Drosophila melanogaster: one gene and its partners. The protein of the gene in region 3 interacts with the protein of the main gene of each other region in a pairwise test. Each region holds a gene or a part of one and is shown on either strand. Other genes may lie near its edges. The genes, in order: Prm, Rm62, Nplp1 and sip1.

What was found.
Region 1: the proteins of Nplp1 (region 3) and Prm interact in a two-hybrid assay, tested with the Drosophila melanogaster proteins (one large-scale study listed by BioGRID).
Region 2: the proteins of Nplp1 (region 3) and Rm62 interact in a two-hybrid assay, tested with the Drosophila melanogaster proteins (one large-scale study listed by BioGRID).
Region 4: the proteins of Nplp1 (region 3) and sip1 interact in a two-hybrid assay, tested with the Drosophila melanogaster proteins (one large-scale study listed by BioGRID).

What each region holds. Positions count from the first base shown.
Region 1 is NT_037436.4:8,742,299-8,746,953, reverse strand, and holds the start of Prm (paramyosin), read left to right. Parts: upstream 1-1,643; 5' UTR 1,644-1,868; coding exon 1,869-1,991; intron 1,992-2,622; coding exon 2,623-2,679; intron 2,680-4,530; coding exon 4,531-4,617; intron 4,618-4,655. UniProt on the Drosophila melanogaster protein: Paramyosin is a major structural component of many thick filaments isolated from invertebrate muscles.
Region 2 is NT_033777.3:6,005,562-6,010,243, forward strand, and holds the start of Rm62 (Rm62), read right to left. Parts: upstream 3,013-4,682; 5' UTR 2,910-3,012; coding exon 2,476-2,909; intron 2,168-2,475; exon of another isoform or gene 1,885-2,167; intron 554-1,884; exon of another isoform or gene 400-553; coding exon of another isoform or gene 389-399; intron 1-388. UniProt on the Drosophila melanogaster protein: As an RNA helicase, unwinds RNA and alters RNA structures through ATP binding and hydrolysis. Involved in multiple cellular processes, including pre-mRNA splicing, alternative splicing, rRNA processing and miRNA processing, as well as transcription regulation.
Region 3 is NT_033778.4:25,030,736-25,035,383, reverse strand, and holds the start of Nplp1 (Neuropeptide-like precursor 1), read right to left. Parts: upstream 3,008-4,648; 5' UTR 2,777-3,007; coding exon 2,705-2,776; intron 1-2,704.
Region 4 is NT_033779.5:5,719,372-5,724,447, reverse strand, and holds sip1 (septin interacting protein 1), read right to left. Parts: upstream 3,398-5,076; 5' UTR 3,313-3,397; coding exon 3,204-3,312; intron 3,153-3,203; coding exon 874-3,152; intron 811-873; coding exon 679-810; 3' UTR 504-678; downstream 1-503. Other genes in the region: CG11149 (uncharacterized protein), read left to right, coding at 4,486-4,937, 5,018-5,076. UniProt on the Drosophila melanogaster protein: May be involved in pre-mRNA splicing.

The DNA of each region.
Region 1 (4,655 bases), on a different chromosome or scaffold from region 3:
AAGAGCCAAGTATCTAAAAGATACGAATGCGAACGGAGCAAGAAACTGCTCTAATATATAAGGATGGTTAGCCCATCTAGAGCTCTAGATGTGTGCGTCAGTTGGCCTCAGGTGAAATGTGTGTGGAAAATGAACACGATTATGAGCAAGCCGAGAAAAAAGGCACAAATAACACGAAATTCGGTTGCTAAAAATAAGCGAAAATTCATTTTTAAGTATAGTTAGGCAAATGTGTGTTTGTGTGTGGAGCACAGGTGGAGGAGATCGCTCGAAGACGAACGAGAATTTTCACTCGAAAAGCTTCGGTTCCTTTGGAAAAGTGAGCCAAAAATCGCCGAACGAAGCGTGTTCGCAATGTAACAGAAATTATTTACACAATATGTATTTACTATGGGGGCACATGGAGAGACCCGTCAGTTGCCAAAAAGATATAATGCAGAGACAGTCATCTACGTGACCATTGAACAACAATTGTTAGATGACATCGCATTGTCTGAGGCTGAGCAGACTGCTGTCCGCACGGCCAAGGATTCACTCAAAATTGTATATTTTTGTTTATTTCGCACAATTTTTTTTCACACACTCTCTACGTCTATTTATTTATGCTGGCGAATAACACGTTTCGATGCCAAAAGTCAAGTATTTTTAGAAAACATTGCTGTAATCCTAATTGGCTGTTAGCGAATAATTTAGAAGGCATATCATAGAAAATTTTGACACTTTTATGATTTTTCTGCTTGTGTAAAAATGTTGTAATACCCCTGAGATCTGTATAGCATATATATTTGGGCTCTATATTTGGCTGGGGTTTCATGCTCTAGCCTCTTTTCTTTTTGATAATAATATATGCTAAATCAATTTGAAATCAATCGATTCAAATATTTACATATATAGTCTCTAACGCTTAAATGTATTCAATATTCTAGATGTTCTAATGTTCTAGAAACCGTTTCCAAAAGTCAAATCATTCTATTTAAGTTTGCTCCCAGAATTATATCTCAATCTTTATAGTCTAGGGACTACGTGCTGGAATACTGGTTTGGCACTACCTTTTAAATAATATCCGAGGCCCCTGAACCAAGAAAATGTGCCAATAAATATAAATTATGAACTTTATGATCTGCAGAGGATGCCAAATATTTCAACATGACTTATATGTATGTACGTTCGAGAATTGGGAAAATTTATGTGTAGATACATTCTGGCCAGACGCTAGATACACAAAATGAAACGCACAAATGACACAGGCTAATTACAGGTAAGCAATAGAAAAGAAAAGACAAGAAAAGCAGGCGTACTTCGTGTTTTTGAGTTTATTTTCGTAGGGGGCAAGCTCTCAGGCAAACTAGCGTGAAAATGCGTTCACACAAGCTTCGGCCCAAGTGAAATGAAAAATCAAAGAATTTTCCACACAACTGAGCAATTAACACAACAACACGGCCGCGTGAAAAGTCACTCGAAAGTCCCACTCACATTCACATAGGTGGTGGTGGTGGCTTATAGATATATCTCAGGGTATATCCCACTCGGATCCGATCGGCGGGGAGCCGATGGCGCCCGACGGCGACCGAAGGCTCCCGAAGGGAACCGAATAAATCGTTGAAATAGACGAATTCAGCTGGCAGGCCAAACCAATTCAACGAAATACTCTTTATTCGAACGACAACGGGATCTCTTGTTCAGTAGATCACCAGCCTTACTCCGACGTTTATTACGAATTTTCTCGGTGACTCGGTGACAACTACAAAACTGCGTGCGGTGCTGTATAGATTTTCGCTTGAGAGGAACACACAAATCATAATACTAGATACGCGAACCGATCGCACATTAATTTATAGAACCAAAATCGAAAATCTGACCTAGCAAACATGTCGTCATCGCAGGCTGTCCGCTCCTCGAAATACTCCTACCGTGCCACGTCCACCGGACCCGGTACCGCCGATGTGAACATCGAGTACATCCAGGACCTGAGCTCGCTCTCCCGCTTGGAGGTAAGGATCCCGTCCCGCTCCGTCTCGGAATCTCGAATTCGAATTCGTAATTGGAAGCGGACCGGTATCGTTTAAGAAATCGGCATCGTATTGGGCACCAAATCCCCAAAAAGACGTTGGAATTCCGACCAGGGAATAGGAATACGAAATGCGTGTGCGCCAAATTTTCTTCAAAATCTACGAGAATTTCTCTCTCTTGTTTCGGTGTCTGTGTAGAGACTGAAAAAGAATCGGAATATAATCAAGAAAAAATACGAAAAACAAACTAAGAAACCCGAAAAATTCATCTACACTCTATATCAAATGCACATATATACCGTAGATATATATTCGTGTGTTAAGTTCTCGGCGCGTTCTTGTGTGTGGAAATATAGAAAATTCGGTGAAGCAAAATTCTAGATTTGTATATGTATCTAAACGTGTCTGTATATACATATGCATTGCTAAAAAATTATGTAATGGCCACCTCTGGGCAATACATATACACGAGAAAACATCGAAGAAAAATTTGTGAAGAAATCAATCAACTGTGCTGTAAAGTGCTTTTTAATGAATGTTTTAATCAAATAATATGAAATAACGAGCCCATAAAAGATCAAACTCAATAAATGTATCCACCATTTTCTTGCAGGACAAGATCCGTTTGCTCCAAGATGATCTTGAAGTTGAACGTGAGTTGCGCCAAAGGGTGAGTCATTCAATATGGAAATATTCATAATTTTAAATATTTTTAAGTTATTTTTGAACCGAGTATTTTTAAGGTATTACTATAGGTTTCTTTGGAATATTTTTGAACATTCTTAATTTATTGAGAGCATCGTTTTTAGTCAATAAGATTATTTGCTGATGAAATCGGCGTCAGAGATATGACATATCCGAGGAAGTTAGAAAAGATCAGACCGCATTCTCCGAGACCCAATGGAAATCAAAGCGCCAGGGAAAACCATTTTTACTTTTTTCACCTCGCAAATGTCACCCTAAAAACAGCAAAAATATGTGGAAAGCCAAAATAAAATCAAAATAGACCAAAGTAGCAGTAGCGATAGAACCGATAGAAAAGTCAGCAAACAAATGCAAATCTAAGAATAAACTACCCTTCGTAGAGTTTCGAAAGTGTGAAAGTAAATGATAATGATGTGCATTGAACTTCAATCGCTTTCGTTTTTGGCTTTTCCTTCCCTGCGGAGCATTGATAAATGATTTTTCCCCTGACTTTGCAAAGACAGCGGCCGCAAAGACAGCAAAGTCAGGAACAGCCAGAGAAAAGTGGGAAAATTCGCAGGCCGAAAGTGCACTTCATTCAGCGCAATCCTCTTGGGCGTTACAAATTTAGAAAATGCGAAGAGCTCTTGCCGGAATGGAATGGGCTGGCCAGGAATGTTCTGAAAATTTTGTTAAAAAATCAAATTTAATTACTTTGTGCCTTATGGATTAGCACGCACTCGCACACAGATACAACGCCCCCCAACACACACTCACAATATATGGAACAAAATGGCTAAAATTAGCGCACGACATTCAATACAGAGAAGCGAATGATTAACTTGAAAACAACCAAAATATGAGCAGAGAAGAAAAGAAAATAAAGTAGCCAAAAAGTCATCATCATCACCATCTTCATGATCAGCGGCGGCAGAGAGGAAAATTCGCTCGCTCACTACGGGAAAATCTTCGCTTTTTGTCTGTGGGCGTGTGTCTGTGGGAAAATTAAATAATTTTCATGCACATTAAAAGTCTTCACACCGCCTGGCATTCTTTCTACATATCCACATATGCATATATAGGCGGCAAAAACATGTATCTACAAGATACATATGGCGCAAATGGATTTACGGCCCGTACTTACGTGGCCTTTGTGGCAATCGGCAACTTTTTGTTATGCCAAATGAACGGACAAACACATGTTCGCCTAGGTATTATCATAAACATAAATGTACAAACATATTCAGCGAGAGATTTAAAAGAGATTTATCAGACCAATACGTTCTTTATTTAAGCTTGGGGCATTTCAGTTAGCTGAATTTTTTATGATTGCTTCGGACAGCTCCAAATACCAGAAATCCCAATGGCCGCACATAGCTTTCATAAAATAGCATTTAATTGCAATTCGCAAAATTGACCAAACGAGGTCGTCGACAAAGGCGAAAAGCAAATGTTTAGATTCCGAGGGAGCCAACAAAAAATGTTTCTGTTCAAGCGAAAAATGTTCGAATGCCTTTTTGGAAATGCAATCTAGGAAAGCGGTGTGCGGCCGCCCACAAAAGATATATACGCATATATAGACGCATATATCGTGGATGCAATCGGACTATGGCTACACCTCTGCGTGGAAGATTTCTTGGCAAGATGCCATTGTTATTTTAGGTGTTGCATGTGCATAATTATTTTTGACTGATTAATGTGATTTATAATTTTTATTATGGGCTGTTTGAGTAGCCACAGAGCATGGCTAGCGCAGGGTATTTATAGATCCTTCACATTATACCAAGTCGCTAATGAAATCTCTTCTTAATCTCTGCTTATATTCTTCAAATTTCAGATCGAGCGCGAGAAAGCCGATCTCAGCGTTCAGGTCATTCAGATGTCCGAGCGTCTCGAGGAGGCCGAGGGTGGTGCTGAACATCAAGTGAGTACCATGTGGTAAACCAATATTGCAATCCAGCC
Region 2 (4,682 bases), on a different chromosome or scaffold from region 3:
TGGAAATTGAACGACTTCACGACTTGTTATTTCGCTGCCGTGAATTCAGTGGAATCTTTAAGAAAATATCCCACTTTGAGCTTTGTAACCGAATTTCGCTGAAGTTGATATAGTTTGATAGTTTTCTCACAAACTTTTTAATTTCGCGTTGTACATTTGTATAATCAATTCCTCCTTATCTGCCATCTAAAATAATTTTGCGCTGCACACACATTACCCAGAAACTGTGTGTCATAAATTTTCCCTTGATAAAAGGGACCTTCGAGAATTAAACCATGCTTAACTGGAATCATTTTTTCCGGCTCGGCGTAGACAGCTGCACTTTCTTTTCTTAAGTATTTCTTTGACAGAAAATTGAGGAAAAAAAGAAACGAGTGACTTGGCTTACTTTGCTCGCATGCTGCCGTTTCTAGACGTCTGCCAGTTGGGACTTGGATTTCAACTGCGACTTGGCTTGGAAGGTAAGTCTTCGCTTTTCGATTTCTTTCGACGCTGCTAAACAGCTGACATGGGAGTTGTGCTGTGCTACAACCGCAATAAACTTAAATAAAAACTAATTGCGTGTTAGGGAAATTAAATAAATTTCGAATAATGCAAACAGTAAGGCAAATTTGATTGACAACAACATGCAATTCGAGCAGGGTTTCTATTCACAGCCCACCCTCCCACCAATTTTTCACCCCAGTTTATCAGCCCCTAAATGCTCAACTAAACTAAACAGCCCCATGTACAAAGCCCTGCGTTTATTGCTCTGGCATTAATCAACCTGGCGCAGTTCTAGTTCCAGTCAGAACTGGCGAAGGTACCGACCTATATATGTTAGCACTTTGCAATAATTAGGGAAAAATAATATTAACTCTGCGGAGTGTATATACAATGTGGTAATAAATATAGTGCAAGATTAAGTTGGATGGTAAAGTTGTATAAAACAAAATTTACAACATAAATTATGTTTATTGTGTTACGAACTAACTTCTATAAATTTCCACTTTATATTCGCTTTACTTCGTATGTAAGCTCCATTTTCGTGATCCTAGTGGGCATCACTATGGGGTGCACCATGCAAATCACCCACGATCCAGGCCCACGTTTTTTTTTGTCTATTACTCTGTCAATTTGGAACACCGTACCGCCCTAAACGTCTATTTGTAGGACCCACTGGCACGCTAACGTTTGTGCCCAACTAGCGAAGCGGAACGCTCTGAACATTTATGAGACAGCCAAATGTCTTGCCCCTAGTTTCAACGGTGGGCAAACACCCGAGGGGAGGAGGGGACAGTCCCTGGGGGCACCTTTGACTTTCTGTGTGTCTACCTGTCGCTTTTTGACATGCGAAAAGACGAATCGCGCGCTCGCCAAAGGGGGAGCTCATAATCAATTGGCGTCATTTGACATTTTAGACTAATGGGGCCGTTTATGTGATGGCGTAGTTCACGAACTGGGTTACTATTACCATTTAATATTTGGTTGTTACTTGAGTTTTTATCAATACTATAGTATAACTTTCTAATAAATAATTTTTATTGCATAACAAGCATGGTTCATGATAAGTAAACACAAAAAGAGCGTAGCAAAATAGATAAAATGATCGATAAAATGCATTTTTGATAATCTGTAAGTTAAATGTGTTTGCATGGAACCTTTACTTATAGTGTAGAGAAAATTTTAAGAGAATAACCCTACTTTTCCCTAAAATTGTCCTCAGTATACAGAATTATACTGAAATTATATATTTCAATGTACGCATTAGATAACCAAACGAAGCAAACCATTAACCCCATTCACTTCCCAAATTAAGCATAGTAAGTATAAATCTATGTCGGGATGGTTACATCAAATTATAAAATTGCCAATACCAAAAACATCGCGATATCTCTACAAAACCTCGTGTGAGCCATGGAAAGAATGTGATGGAAAGGCATGCTGGCGAGTGAGCAGGACGGCGCTAGTCAGTGACAGCCGCCGACTGTTATACGCTCGCACACACTGTTCGAACTGTTCTACGAGCACGAGAAAATGCCGCCGTCAACAGGCATTCACGCATACAAGCAAGTCCGTATGTGCCGCTGTGTGAGTGCGCGTGTTCATGTTCGGGGCATACAGACAAATTAAAACGCTATAAAATAGCAAACGAAGCAAGAACACGTTTCACAAATCAGGCAAATTCTTTTTATGACGTGCGCTGTCGTTCTTGTTGCTTTTGCTACTCCTTTGCGGATGTGCGGGGGCAAACACAAAGAAAAAAACAACAAATGGCTGAAAACCTCACCTCCGACTGACAAAATTTAGCAAACCATGTGTTTTTCTCTCTCTCCCCAAACTCTCTCTTTCGCTCACACTAATTACTCATCACCTCGCTTCGTAGGTGTACAGAAAAAAAAAAAAAAAAAGAGGAATGGCACGAAGGGTGATAAAATGGCGACAGTGAGTGGAAAAAACCAACGCATTTCATATGAAATCTTGCGGCGTACTCACATTACTCCTTCAATTTTGATTTCCTCAGTTCTTTCGTCGGGATCGTTGAAAAGCGATTTCCTCGTCCTCGTCCGCTGCTCTGCTTTCGGGATGGAATCTACGTAGTCGTCTGAATCTGGTTTCGAGCTGTCTCGAAACGCACGCTGCGACTGAGCTTGGAGACTACTATATGTGCTTGGGAACAGTATTGTCTCACGATTCCTGCGACTCCCGTGGAACTGTTGTCGTTGTTCGGTGCAGAGCGAAGAAGAAGAAGCGAAAGTGCCGCTGCTGCTGGCGGAGGAGAAAAGAAAATGGCGACGTTGCGTTATACATTTCTCGGAGCTCGCGCCACTTCTCGGGGAAATCAATAGCAAGTTGCCCCAGCCGCAGGCAGTCGGTCGGGGCGTGGCGCCGCCCACCCGGGGGGCTATGTATTGCACAAGCTTAAGCATTTTCCCGAAGACTTAGCTTCAATGCGGTTATGCTAATGACGGATTTATCCTACGCAGCGCGGCATCCGCGCGTGTCTTACCTAACCTCGTCCAAAATTAGAGTGACCCTAGATGGAGGGGAAAAATCGGTCGAGAAGTTGGTGTGACCGCAGCGGGCTCGCATGAAAACGTCTATTAGAGTGACCACCTGGTTGCTATCGATAATCAGCTGAACGCGGTGTATTTACTTGCCCGCTAAGTTTTTAATATTTAAGATTCTGCTGAAACGAACTTTAAATATATCTCGTCGTCGGTCCGTACTCCTAATATTCGGAAATGTCTTAAATTTCCTAGCTATCGATAATCAGCTGAACGCGGTGTATTTACTTGCCCGCTAAGTTTTTAATATTTAAGATTCTGCTGAAACGAACTTTAAATGTATCTCGTCGTCGGTCCGTACTCCTAATATTCGGAAATGTCTTAAATTTCCTAGCCTACCAAAACGTAGTCTGTGCGGAGATTAGTAAATATACCTTAACAAATATAAGCATAAAACAACTTTCTGTGTTGAGCATTTAGCAAAGACTCACCCCATTTGTGGTTTATTTAACATTTTCAATTAATACAAATTTTTTGAAATCTACCAAAAGCGCAAATCTCGCATCATTTTTACTAATATTTTAAAGAATTAAAATAAGGTTGGCTCAATATTCTGAAAGGAAAAATATATCCTATTATTTATAAGAAAATATAATATTGTACAACACACAGAATTTTCATCATTAATTTCAAAATTTCATAGAACTTGCTTGTTGACCATTTCAAGTCTATAAAAAGTAATACTTATTAAAGAAATCTTATAATTTACACATAATTTTATTGCTTACATCTAAAAAATGAGTCTGAAAGAAATCGAAAATTTCACTCGAGTTTTAGCGAATTAAATTGAAAGAATCATAGTTATGATTGGAAATAGCTAAATATAGATATTATGCTGGAAAATAAAATGGCATCTATGGAGGATTAAGTAGCCACATATATTAACACCAGTAAAGAATGCACTTATTTTTCAAAATGCCAAAAATTGAAATTTACGGCACTTTAATGAAAATGAGTATCTGTAAGCTCTTACAAATTTACCAACTACCTCACTGTACTTTATTTAAATATCTTACCACGAACTATCGTATATCGTAATTGTACTGTAAAGGCCATGGTCAATCGGTTTTAAAATTCGGAGAGAACCCTCTCCAAAAGGTGGAGTTGCTGTGTGACATTTTTAACAAATCAATTGATAAAGACAAAAATAGCAGATAACACGTAGCCACCCAAACATCCAGTTCATATGTCCTTCTTCAGTACTAAAATTCCCTGCCGCACTTTTCCTTGGGAGTGTTCAAAAATACAAGAATAAATGTTACAGCCTTCTTCTAGCAAAGTTTCGAACACTGAATTTGCATTTGATTGTAGAACGTGTCAAGTGGATTTTGCTCAATTTCTTAAAGTGAAATATGAAAAACCGGTAAGTAATACGTTTCTTATTAATAATTTTATAAATAAATATATCTAATTGCATTACGAACTATTTTAGTGAAGTTAACAATAAAAACAGATTATATTCAATTTCGTTTTTATACGAAGCATGTTGCAAAGATGACTAAAGATCCCGGGTGTTCTCAGGTATGTTATAATTTTATCCTCCTTTGGGGTATGGAAATATATAAGTGTGATCACCAAGTGACCGCATTAGCAAGCAGTAAAGGCACTGCTTTATCTAGCAGTGTTATACAGGTG
Region 3 (4,648 bases):
TTGTCACCAGCATTTCCTAAACAAACAAGTAAAAACACTATTGTGGGGACGGTTGCGCTGCGTGCGCTGTTATAGCCGAGGAATCCATTTATGGCAGCCTGTGTTGCGTTAAAATTTAGGGGGTTGTTTCCTTATTTTGCATACTTTAACAGAAAGAGATGTAAAATATTTGTGGCTTACAAGCTATTAAATATGAACCCAGCCCAGTTTAATCCTCCCTGTCAGTCCTCCTCTTAAGCAGGCGATTAAGCGGATAATAGCAATTCGCTTATCATTGTGCGTGTGAATTAAGTTCGTAGCTTATTTCTGATTCTTACAATTCATATAATATTTCATTTGTATAAAGCCGTATTTGGACGGGAGAAATGAAAAAGTATCAAGATCCTAATTGAAACAATCGTAAAGTCAATCAAGTGGAAAGGTGACAGGACACATCAAATAAAAGTGGACGATGCCAATCGATTGACTCAAATTGCTATCCTAGCCTAATTGGGCGTGAGATTATGCACAACTGCAATGGCCAAGAGCCATCCACAATCTGGGCAATGTTTTCTTTTCCTCCAGCTCGATAACATTCTCTGATTTAATTTTTTTCCGTGATGCCCGTTGAGGCGCTTATGTGGCCTAAGCCCAGCCGCAAGCAAATTTTATTATGGCAGTCTTGCTCCCTGGTTTCCCCACATTTCAATGGCGTAATTGCTTGCCTTTTTTTACCTAAATAAATACTGTGCGCAATATTAAAACTTAAGTGCTGTGACCTTGCCTGGAATTCAGAGTGTCTGAAACGCTGGAACAAGGAGTCAGGAGCCACGCGCGTATGTAATTTACGAAGGGAAATTTGTAAGTAGGGAAAAGGTACTGCATTCCGCATTTTATACGATAAAAATGTTTCTGTTGAAAATACTCTCTTTTATGATAGGAAGATATTATAAACGATATTTAATGTTGATCCCAAATTGTATTATTATCTTTTTCGTTCTAGTACCTCTGCGTTTTTTTGTATCCACACTACAGAAATTTTATTGGCCCTACATCTGGTTTCCATTCAGTTTTATTTGTGTCCACTGCGTGGAAATGGCTCAATTAACAATAATGGTCATTGCAATGAAACACACATGTAACTTTTTCCAAATCACTTTGTAGGCAAGCTCTGTGGAAGAGCTTTAGTGTACATATCATGGTTACGAGGGCATTTGGCAATTACTGACCACGAAAATAAATATACAAAGGCAGCTAATCAAAAGCCAATCAGAAACTTTTCAGACAAAATTTAATCCTTGCTAACTCCCAAGTGAGCCCATGTCAATATTGTAAATAAATGTCTGAAAAAAGTGAAAGGTACTAAAAATTTGAATATTTATTCGCCTTTTTCCGTGCGTATACGATATCCATGGAAAAGATTAATTTTTATTTTTATTGATTTTCTTGTTTGTTAAATTGGGTTGCGCATATGACAATGACGAGTCATATCATAAATCGCACATATCTAGTCTGATGCCAGATTAAGGCACACTCACGCGTTTCTGTCATTTCATATTGTCGTCATACATTTAACGTCAACTGTTTGCATCGATATGCATTAAAGTGCTGATTCATTGTCTGTAATGCAGCGATGCAACTTCGAAATCATAAGCAAGTTTACATTGAACCATGTTGTACAATAGTTGTCATTGACGTTGCAGTTTCCTCTGACGTTGCTGGATTTACTGACGTAAGGATATTTAAGTATTTGAGGAACTAAACTGTTAACTTTATCTAAAATGAAAAGTTCCGCTCCTGACCGTCAAAGCCTTTCATAGCCCGTGGCTTTTTCCGTGCAAAAACTGTCAACAATAATATTTTATGTAATTTTATTTGTGTTTGGTAAAAGACAACAGAGGAGAGATGCTCGACATGAAAGTTCTTTCTTTGTTATAGCTAGAAAAACAATTTGATTAGGTATGTAGTTAAAGGTGGCTTTCCTGCAGCCAGTTATCATAAAAGGCTCTCTGGGAAATGCCAAGTTCCGCGGAAATGAAAAATGAAGAAATGTCACATACATATGTCAGTGAGGGACAAAAGGAATGCCAGCTATTCCGCAAGAGATGGTTGAATGTACCAAAAGGAAAAGTGAGAATGCCATATGAATAACTGCACTGTAAACGTGTTGTGCTCGTTCTGACCAGAAGGATGAGGTTGCAACCGCAGATGTATCTCTTGCAAAAGTAAAACAACCCGCGGAAAGTTATGCCTGAATGGGCGTGGCTGTACCAATATAAATTACTGCGTGGTGAACGGGGTCCTTGAAAAATGGAAATAATTTGTTCGTTTTGTAGCCACTGGAGCTTAGAAGCTGTAGACAAGTTTGCGTATTCTGACAGCACAAGTTATGAAAAGCGGAGACTTCGTTGAACAATGGTGAGATGTAATCATGCTAAACTTTGGGTTAGAAATGCAAGAAGAAGAAGAAGCATGTCAGCTCTTTAATTAGCTTTTATAAATATGAAAGATTTCTAAGGATAATATCGCGTTTTCAATTTTCGTTCGTCGAGAAAACACGCAGTCCTCAAACGAATTTCGACAAAATTCACGGCCCACCGCACACGTCAACACATAAAAGATAAATTTAGTAGAAGGCAGAAGCACAGTCCACGAAACCCAAAGACCGAAAAATGTTGATAGCGCTACAGTTTTTAAAATTGAAAATATAATCCCCAGGACTTACGGCATTGAGCAGCATGGAGAGCAACAGCATTAGCCGCCTGCTGCTGTGCGCAGATTGGAGCACCGCCTGCATCGTGGATGTCGTCCTGGGGGCGGCTCAACTGTTAAGTGAGTTTCGTTCGTTTGCAACGCGACAAAAGGATCGACCACACTCGCACTGCCTCACAAATTGAACTGCCCTTTTGCAGCACCCACTTCCAAACCGATTTAAACCGTAACGGAAACACGGACGCGAAGCTTTGCCGTTTGCCAGCTGCCGTAACACTAACGTTAGCCGCAAAGTCGTCTGCTCGACTGCTTTCTCTTGGCCAGGACCCTCGACTTTATATACCCGAGCGGCACCCCGGATAAGCTCACTCGCGGGAGCGAAACCGGAGCGCCGTCAACTGTTGCTCTTCTATAGCCTCTCTGTTGCGTGTGCAGTGTCCTGTTTCGTGGGATGCTATTGTAGGTAATGACGTCATGGCGGCTGCAGGACAGAGCTCTGTTGCTTCTTGGTAAGCTCTGTGTATTCAGGCCAACCAGCAGCACAGTGCACAGCTACAAAGCTTTTCGATATTAAATTGGTATTCGCAGGTTACATTATTGATTCATTTTGAAAATATAATAGAATGTTTGCAGGCCAAAAAAAAATTAAAATGAATCCAAGTCCAAAATAAAAAAATTAATAGAAAACCCTTCCTTAGCTACGATTTTTCGGGTTTCGGTATAATTTGAATTACTCGAAACCGTTTTCTTATCATTTTTCTTTCAACTTTGCAAGTTCAATCCACTGTGCGCTGGTTGCTTTGGGACCAATCTAAGAGTTTTTGGTTTCTCTTAATTCGAACTTGAGCTGTACGCCATATGTTGGCGCTCTCAGCGGGGCCACTGTCCGTCGCAGAACTTAACACTTAAATAAAAAACCTTGAATCAAACATATGCTTCAAATATTCTTTATTGGAATATTTAAAATCACACTTGAAGTTAATCAGAGTAATTAAAACACAAATAGGCTTTGTTGAAATATTTTTCTAACTTTTGTGTTTGTATTTACTATGTATGATTACATTTAATCTGATTATCGGATAGCAATGGGCTGGAAATACATTATCAATCACATTTACTTTTCGATTATTCAAAATAAACATTTTTATTATTTTCATTGATTACATTCGGTTTTTAACCTCGAATCTTTTCATCGTATAAACCAAATTAAAAGCATTGGAATTCAATGAAGTACAAAAGAACTCCCGATTAGAATGGCGTTGCAGTGACCTGTCTGTAAGAATTCCGAAAATATAAAATAACCAAAAAGCCGGAAAGTAATGCCAACAGATAGATTGCTGCACCCCTCCCGCAGAAGCTAAGTTTATGCAATTTCCGAATACCATATTATGAAGCGTAAAATGTTAAAACCAGATCCCCGGTTATACCCAAAACCCTGAGTGCGGCAAGAGCAATGCACAAAATGCAGGGGCGGTCACAATCATATGCCTACGTCAGTAAAGCAAATCGCTGTGGGGGTTTCCCCGCGTCACTCCTAAAAGAAGGATATATGGCGGATGGCAGATGAAGCGGCGGATGTAGCAGATTGCACGCCGGTACAGACAGCTGGCAGGGAAACCTGTCAGCGCACTGCAACATAGGAGGTTGGAGCCAGCGGTACTGTCGGCTTTTGCTTCAACCAATCCATGCATATCAAATTTGGTCAGCAGACCAGAGCAACAGAGCAACAGTCGAGGATGAGTTGGTTAACATGCCGGCATCCCTAGTTCTGGGTTCAAGCGGACTGAAACTCCCCACATTTCAGTTGGTAAATCATTGGGTAATAGCACAATGACTTTGTCTACACTGCAAAAGCACAAATAAATAGGTACTCTTACAATCATAGAATACTGAGTTGAACAGGCGTCCTCTAAGCAATAATGATACAGTTCAATTGCCTTGTCATCCACATCAAAAC
Region 4 (5,076 bases), on a different chromosome or scaffold from region 3:
TAGCGGAACGGTGGAAATTGGAACTCGGGGACTTTTTTTTTGCGAATTGTGTCCCGCTGATCTAAACTACCGTGTCCCTATAGGCTAATAGGCTAAGCCTAATTATATAATGATCCTGAAAAATGCTTTAAAAATTATCCACCGATTTCCAGAAATCCGCCTCACAGCGAAGGAGTTTAAATTTATTTAATAATGCCGCCTTCTCTAGCACCACAGCCAATCCATGTCATAAACCACATTATTAACAATCAAATTTCGACTTTAAAGATTTATTAATCGGTTCAACCAAAGACACTAAAGATACTTCTAGTGTACTTCTACTTCAACGCGCACGTTACAAACCCATGCTCCCACAAAATAAATATATACCGAAAAATACTGCCAGTATATTTACATCTTAAATTCATGGAGCATGCAGCTCGGACCCAAACCGTGGTGAAAAACTTGGATGTAATCATATCAATTTCAAAAATATTCAAATCCGTTTCAATTTTATACAGAATAATATATCTGATTACTTTTACATATATATTTAGACATTTGCTTATATCTGCAGAGCCATCTCATCATACAATCACCTTATATTACAAACTTATTAGGGAACAGCAAGAGCTAAGCTTCTGATCCAATCCAATTAAACATTTTCCAAGCCAATTAAACATTTTCGCAGCTATTTATTTAAAGAATTCCCGTTTGAGAGCGTTCTAGCAGATGATTTAGCGACACCGGCTTCCAGTTGCTGAAGCTGCCATCGCTGACCATGCAGACGTGACGATCGATGTAGCAAAACAGCTTTCCCACACGATAAATCTGTAAATGCAATAAATCTATTAGTATATAACGCTCTGTGGTCGAAAATGGATTAACAGTCACCTGTTTGCCCATCTCCCGTCGCCCTGGCAGAGGAGCGAAGATGATTCCCAAGTCGGCGCATTGCTGCGATACCAACTCTTTGAACTCCAGCTGAGCGGGCGGATGAATCAGGTCCATCATTATGACTGGAGCCGGAGGAACTGGAGGCGGGGGCGTGGGCGTCACCGTGGGCTGCAGCAGGGTATCGCTGGCTCTGTGCATAATTTCCAGTGCTCGCCGCAGATGCTCTTTAACGCTGGGCTCGCGCAGAAGCGGTTCGCTCAACATGCTCTTCCAGCCGGTGTACCATCGCGAGATCTCCGCGTAGTCCGGCGACTGATTCAGCCAGACGACGAGCACTTGCATCCAGCGCGGGAAGAAGTGTCTGTCCAGTAGTTGGGCCATGTACATGGGATCGATGAGCTCGTGCCACTCCCATACCTGCTGCCACAGCTCCAGGTCCTGGTGCATTGGATTGATGATGAGCTCGCCTAGAGTCGCCTGCAGTTTGGGCACTATGTACCGCTGCAGGAACTCTTGCATCTCTTCCTCGGGGAAGGCCTTCTGCCAGGGCGTAAGCATGGCTCTGGCTGATCGGTCATGCGGTGACCAGGCGCGCAATGCTATACCCAATTTGCTGCGGATCTGAGGATAGACGGCCTCCTCCAGCTTGCTGCCCAAGATGGCATGCCACGGCAGCACCCAACTGTCGATCGGAACGGTGTCGGTGAGCGGATCCCACTCCTGGACACCAGCCACCAGTCGTGGCAGAACCAGTTGCTCGAGAACCGAATCCAAGACCCAGCTAGGTAGCAGGGGTGCCCAGGCATCTAGGAGTGAAGCCATTGGCGGATGCTCCTTCGGCTGCCATGCGGCAGCGCTGGACCGAAACGAAGGCATCACGCCGGCCCAGATGAGCGAGGAGTACGGATCGAAGACGTTGCGGGGCTGCTGCTCTGCTGCATCTCCTTGCTGGAGCATGCCGCGCCATTTCTTGATGAGTGGCAGCGGTTCCGTTGGGTTTTCCAGTGGCTGCCACTGAACTAGTTCTCGCTTCAGGAGCGGCGCTATTACACCGGCTGCCAGATCTGCAAGTCCGAACTCATGGAATTCGGCAGCGTAGTCCACGAGCAGCTCCCGAAAGAGTCGTTCAGCCTGAGGTAAACTCAAGTCTGGATTATCGATTAACCGCTCCACGCGCTCCAACGATTCCTCCAGCGTGCGTATGTGGTTTCGTTCTAGCTGGACTATCTCCTCCAGTTTCCGGTGCTCGCTTTCCAGCGCTGCCTGCTGGCTGGAACACTCGCGTTCCTGGTTGTCGATGGCGATGATCTGCTGCTCGCACTGGCTAACCAAGAGCTGGAGGTTGTGCGTCAGCTCGGGCATGGCAAAAACGCAGGCGGGAGCGGATCCCTTTTCCGTCGCCTCCGTGTCGTAGAGCGTCTCCTCTGGCGTAATTTTTGCCTGTCCCAAGGCATGATAGCCACTCAGCACTCGTTTCTCTGGGCCTGTCATATCGATCACCCGCACATTGCCCAGTTTCTTGCTTAGCTTCTCCGACAGTAGGTGGCCGGACGTGTGACCCTTGGCAATCACCTCCTCCACGGACTTGTAGTAGTAGCGCTTACCCTGCCGCTCCATTGGTTCGGCGCCACCGGCTGAGCCCTTTCGCCACTTGTTCAGCTGGTCTTTGAACTCTTTCGCCTCGCGCACGTCCTCATCCACTTTGATGCTCTTGTTCGTCTTTCCTCCGATGCTTGCCGCAGTTTCGGGTCCATAGGCGCCGATAGCACCTCTGCCCTTGCGGACATGGGCTTGCACAGGATGCGAAATGCCCTGCAGATCTTTGCCCAAACCCTTGCCAGGCTCATAGCCCATTTGAAGGAGTAGCTTAGCTCCAATGCCGCGTGTATGCTGCTCCCAGGCGCCCACGTTGCGCTCGCTGGCGATGTGGGAGCGATGCTGAAATGTGGTGCTTGGCTGTTTCCGGCTCAGCGTTGGCCTCTCCTCTTCTGATGAGCTGTTGGAGCTGCCCGGATCGTTCTGGCCGAAGGCTGGCCGTCCGCTGGCGGCGGAATCGTCGCTCTCCTCGCCCTGGTCAGCCTCTGCTCCCTCTTTTTGCGATCCTTTCTCATCATCGGCTTGGAGCGCCTTCTTCTTCTTTTTGCCCGCCTGCTGAATGCCGCCGGCCACAAAATTGACGGGCATGGTGTAGTCTTTGGGTTTACGGGCGGCGCGCCCCCTTCTCTTAGTTCCGCCCTCGCCACCACTCTCCTCCTCGCTGTCATCCGCCCAAATACCTACAGAAAGTTCGTTTACAAACAAATTCCGGCATGTATTTCAATACATACCGTAGATCTGTTGGTGCCTGCTCTGGCGGCCTCGGGGCCGATTGATGTTGAACTCATTGTCCAGATCGTAGTCCGTTATCTCGAAACGCTCGTAATCGTTGTCCGACATCCTGGCTAGACGTGTATATATTACTTACAGCAGAAACTGAAACTTTTGTGAATGTAAACAAACGCACCATTGACAATAGGGATGGCCCTAAATTAGCAATTTTATCGATAAGAAAATCGATACAAAAGTACTAAATACTAACTTTAGTACACTATTAGTATCGCTTATCGGCGCCAAAATAAATTTAAATTTTTTGACAATTGAAAACCACAACTAATTGACTCAATTACCGAACTATTATTAGTTTAGTAAGTTCATTCCTAACAGAATGAGCTCCCTTTTAATTAGCATAAGTACGCAGTATGAAATACTTGAGAATCCGATTTCAAAAGAAAACTATTTTTAGAAAATTTTTTTAAAGGTATTTGATTATAGTGATAAGATATTAAAATCGATAAAGTAAGAAATACATGTTTATGCCGCCTAATCGTCTGTTGACCATATATGTATTTGGCTAACACTCGATTAGCGCTATCAATTGGTTACGTCTACTGAATTGTTATGATAAGGATAGGAAAATACGACAATATTGATAACTAGACGGATAAGAAAATCACTTGAACTATGATAGCTTCGCGGGAACTTCAGTAATTTTAGTCTGTTTCCATTATTCATCGCCGAATGTTGTCTGTCTCGTTCGTGAAATAACTTTTAATCTTAACAGAAAAAAATCCCTCAAACAATTTGCGTCGTTTCGTACGTCATAAAATGGGTTAATCTTTAATGTGCAAACTCTTGTCGATGGAAATGAAAGTGTCAGCCGGTAAAGTGAAAAGTTGTTCTCTGTGTATGGTACCATAAATGTCACCGTTTTTATCAGAGTACGTAAATCATGTTTAGTTTTACTGGGTAAAAGGAGGTAGTCATCTTCATTGTTGGGCAGCCCCATTATCAGAACATTATAAAACATCGATGAACCCCCTTGCATGCTACCACATTACATGGAATCTTATCGGATGAGTACAGCACTAATTTCAGTTCATACAATAGGCCCAGTAAATTAGACATAACTACAGACAAAAAGCTCAGTCGCTGCCATAAACTCTTCTTTCGATTTCCATATCCATTTTCAACGGAATTATATCAATATTTCTGTTTCCGTTCACAGGTCAATAAGTTCTTTGTGTTCTGTTAGTTAAGGAGTTCCTGTGAATCAATGTTCTCGAAATCAGCATGGCGACCATAAGTTTTTGCAATAGGAAATATGTCCGTCTGTGGCCAGTGCTCATACTGTTCAATGTGGCACTCCTGCTGGTTTGGAGGAACCTGCAGCAGGCCCAGAAACTGGCCGCATCTTCTAATACTGGTGGGCAAAAGTCGGTAGGACTTTTGCTGTCCAACGAGTCGAATCCCTCACGTTTTTCTGCAAACTTCCATCTCGCCAATGATCAGCATCCGAAAATAATCCGGCGAGAGGACTCCGCTCGCACCAAGGAATTGCGATCATTGCTCAAGTGCCGCGACCGATCGCTCCGTTTCGAGAGGCTTCAGCACGGAGAGTTCTGGCTGCTTCAGAATCTTGTCATGGGACGAAAGAGTCGGGAAGTCGGCTGTGCCGAGTCCGTGACGTATACCACCAACGGGGACTTTACGTTCTTCGATAATCTGGAAATGGTGGTATCACGGTGAGTGCTCTTTTATCTAATAAACACTTAATAGCAATCTATAAAGATTTCTTTGCTAACTTAATTTACTTATTTTCCAGTTGGCGTGCTCCAGTTAGTTTTGCCATCCACACTCCAGGTTATGATCTTAACACCACAC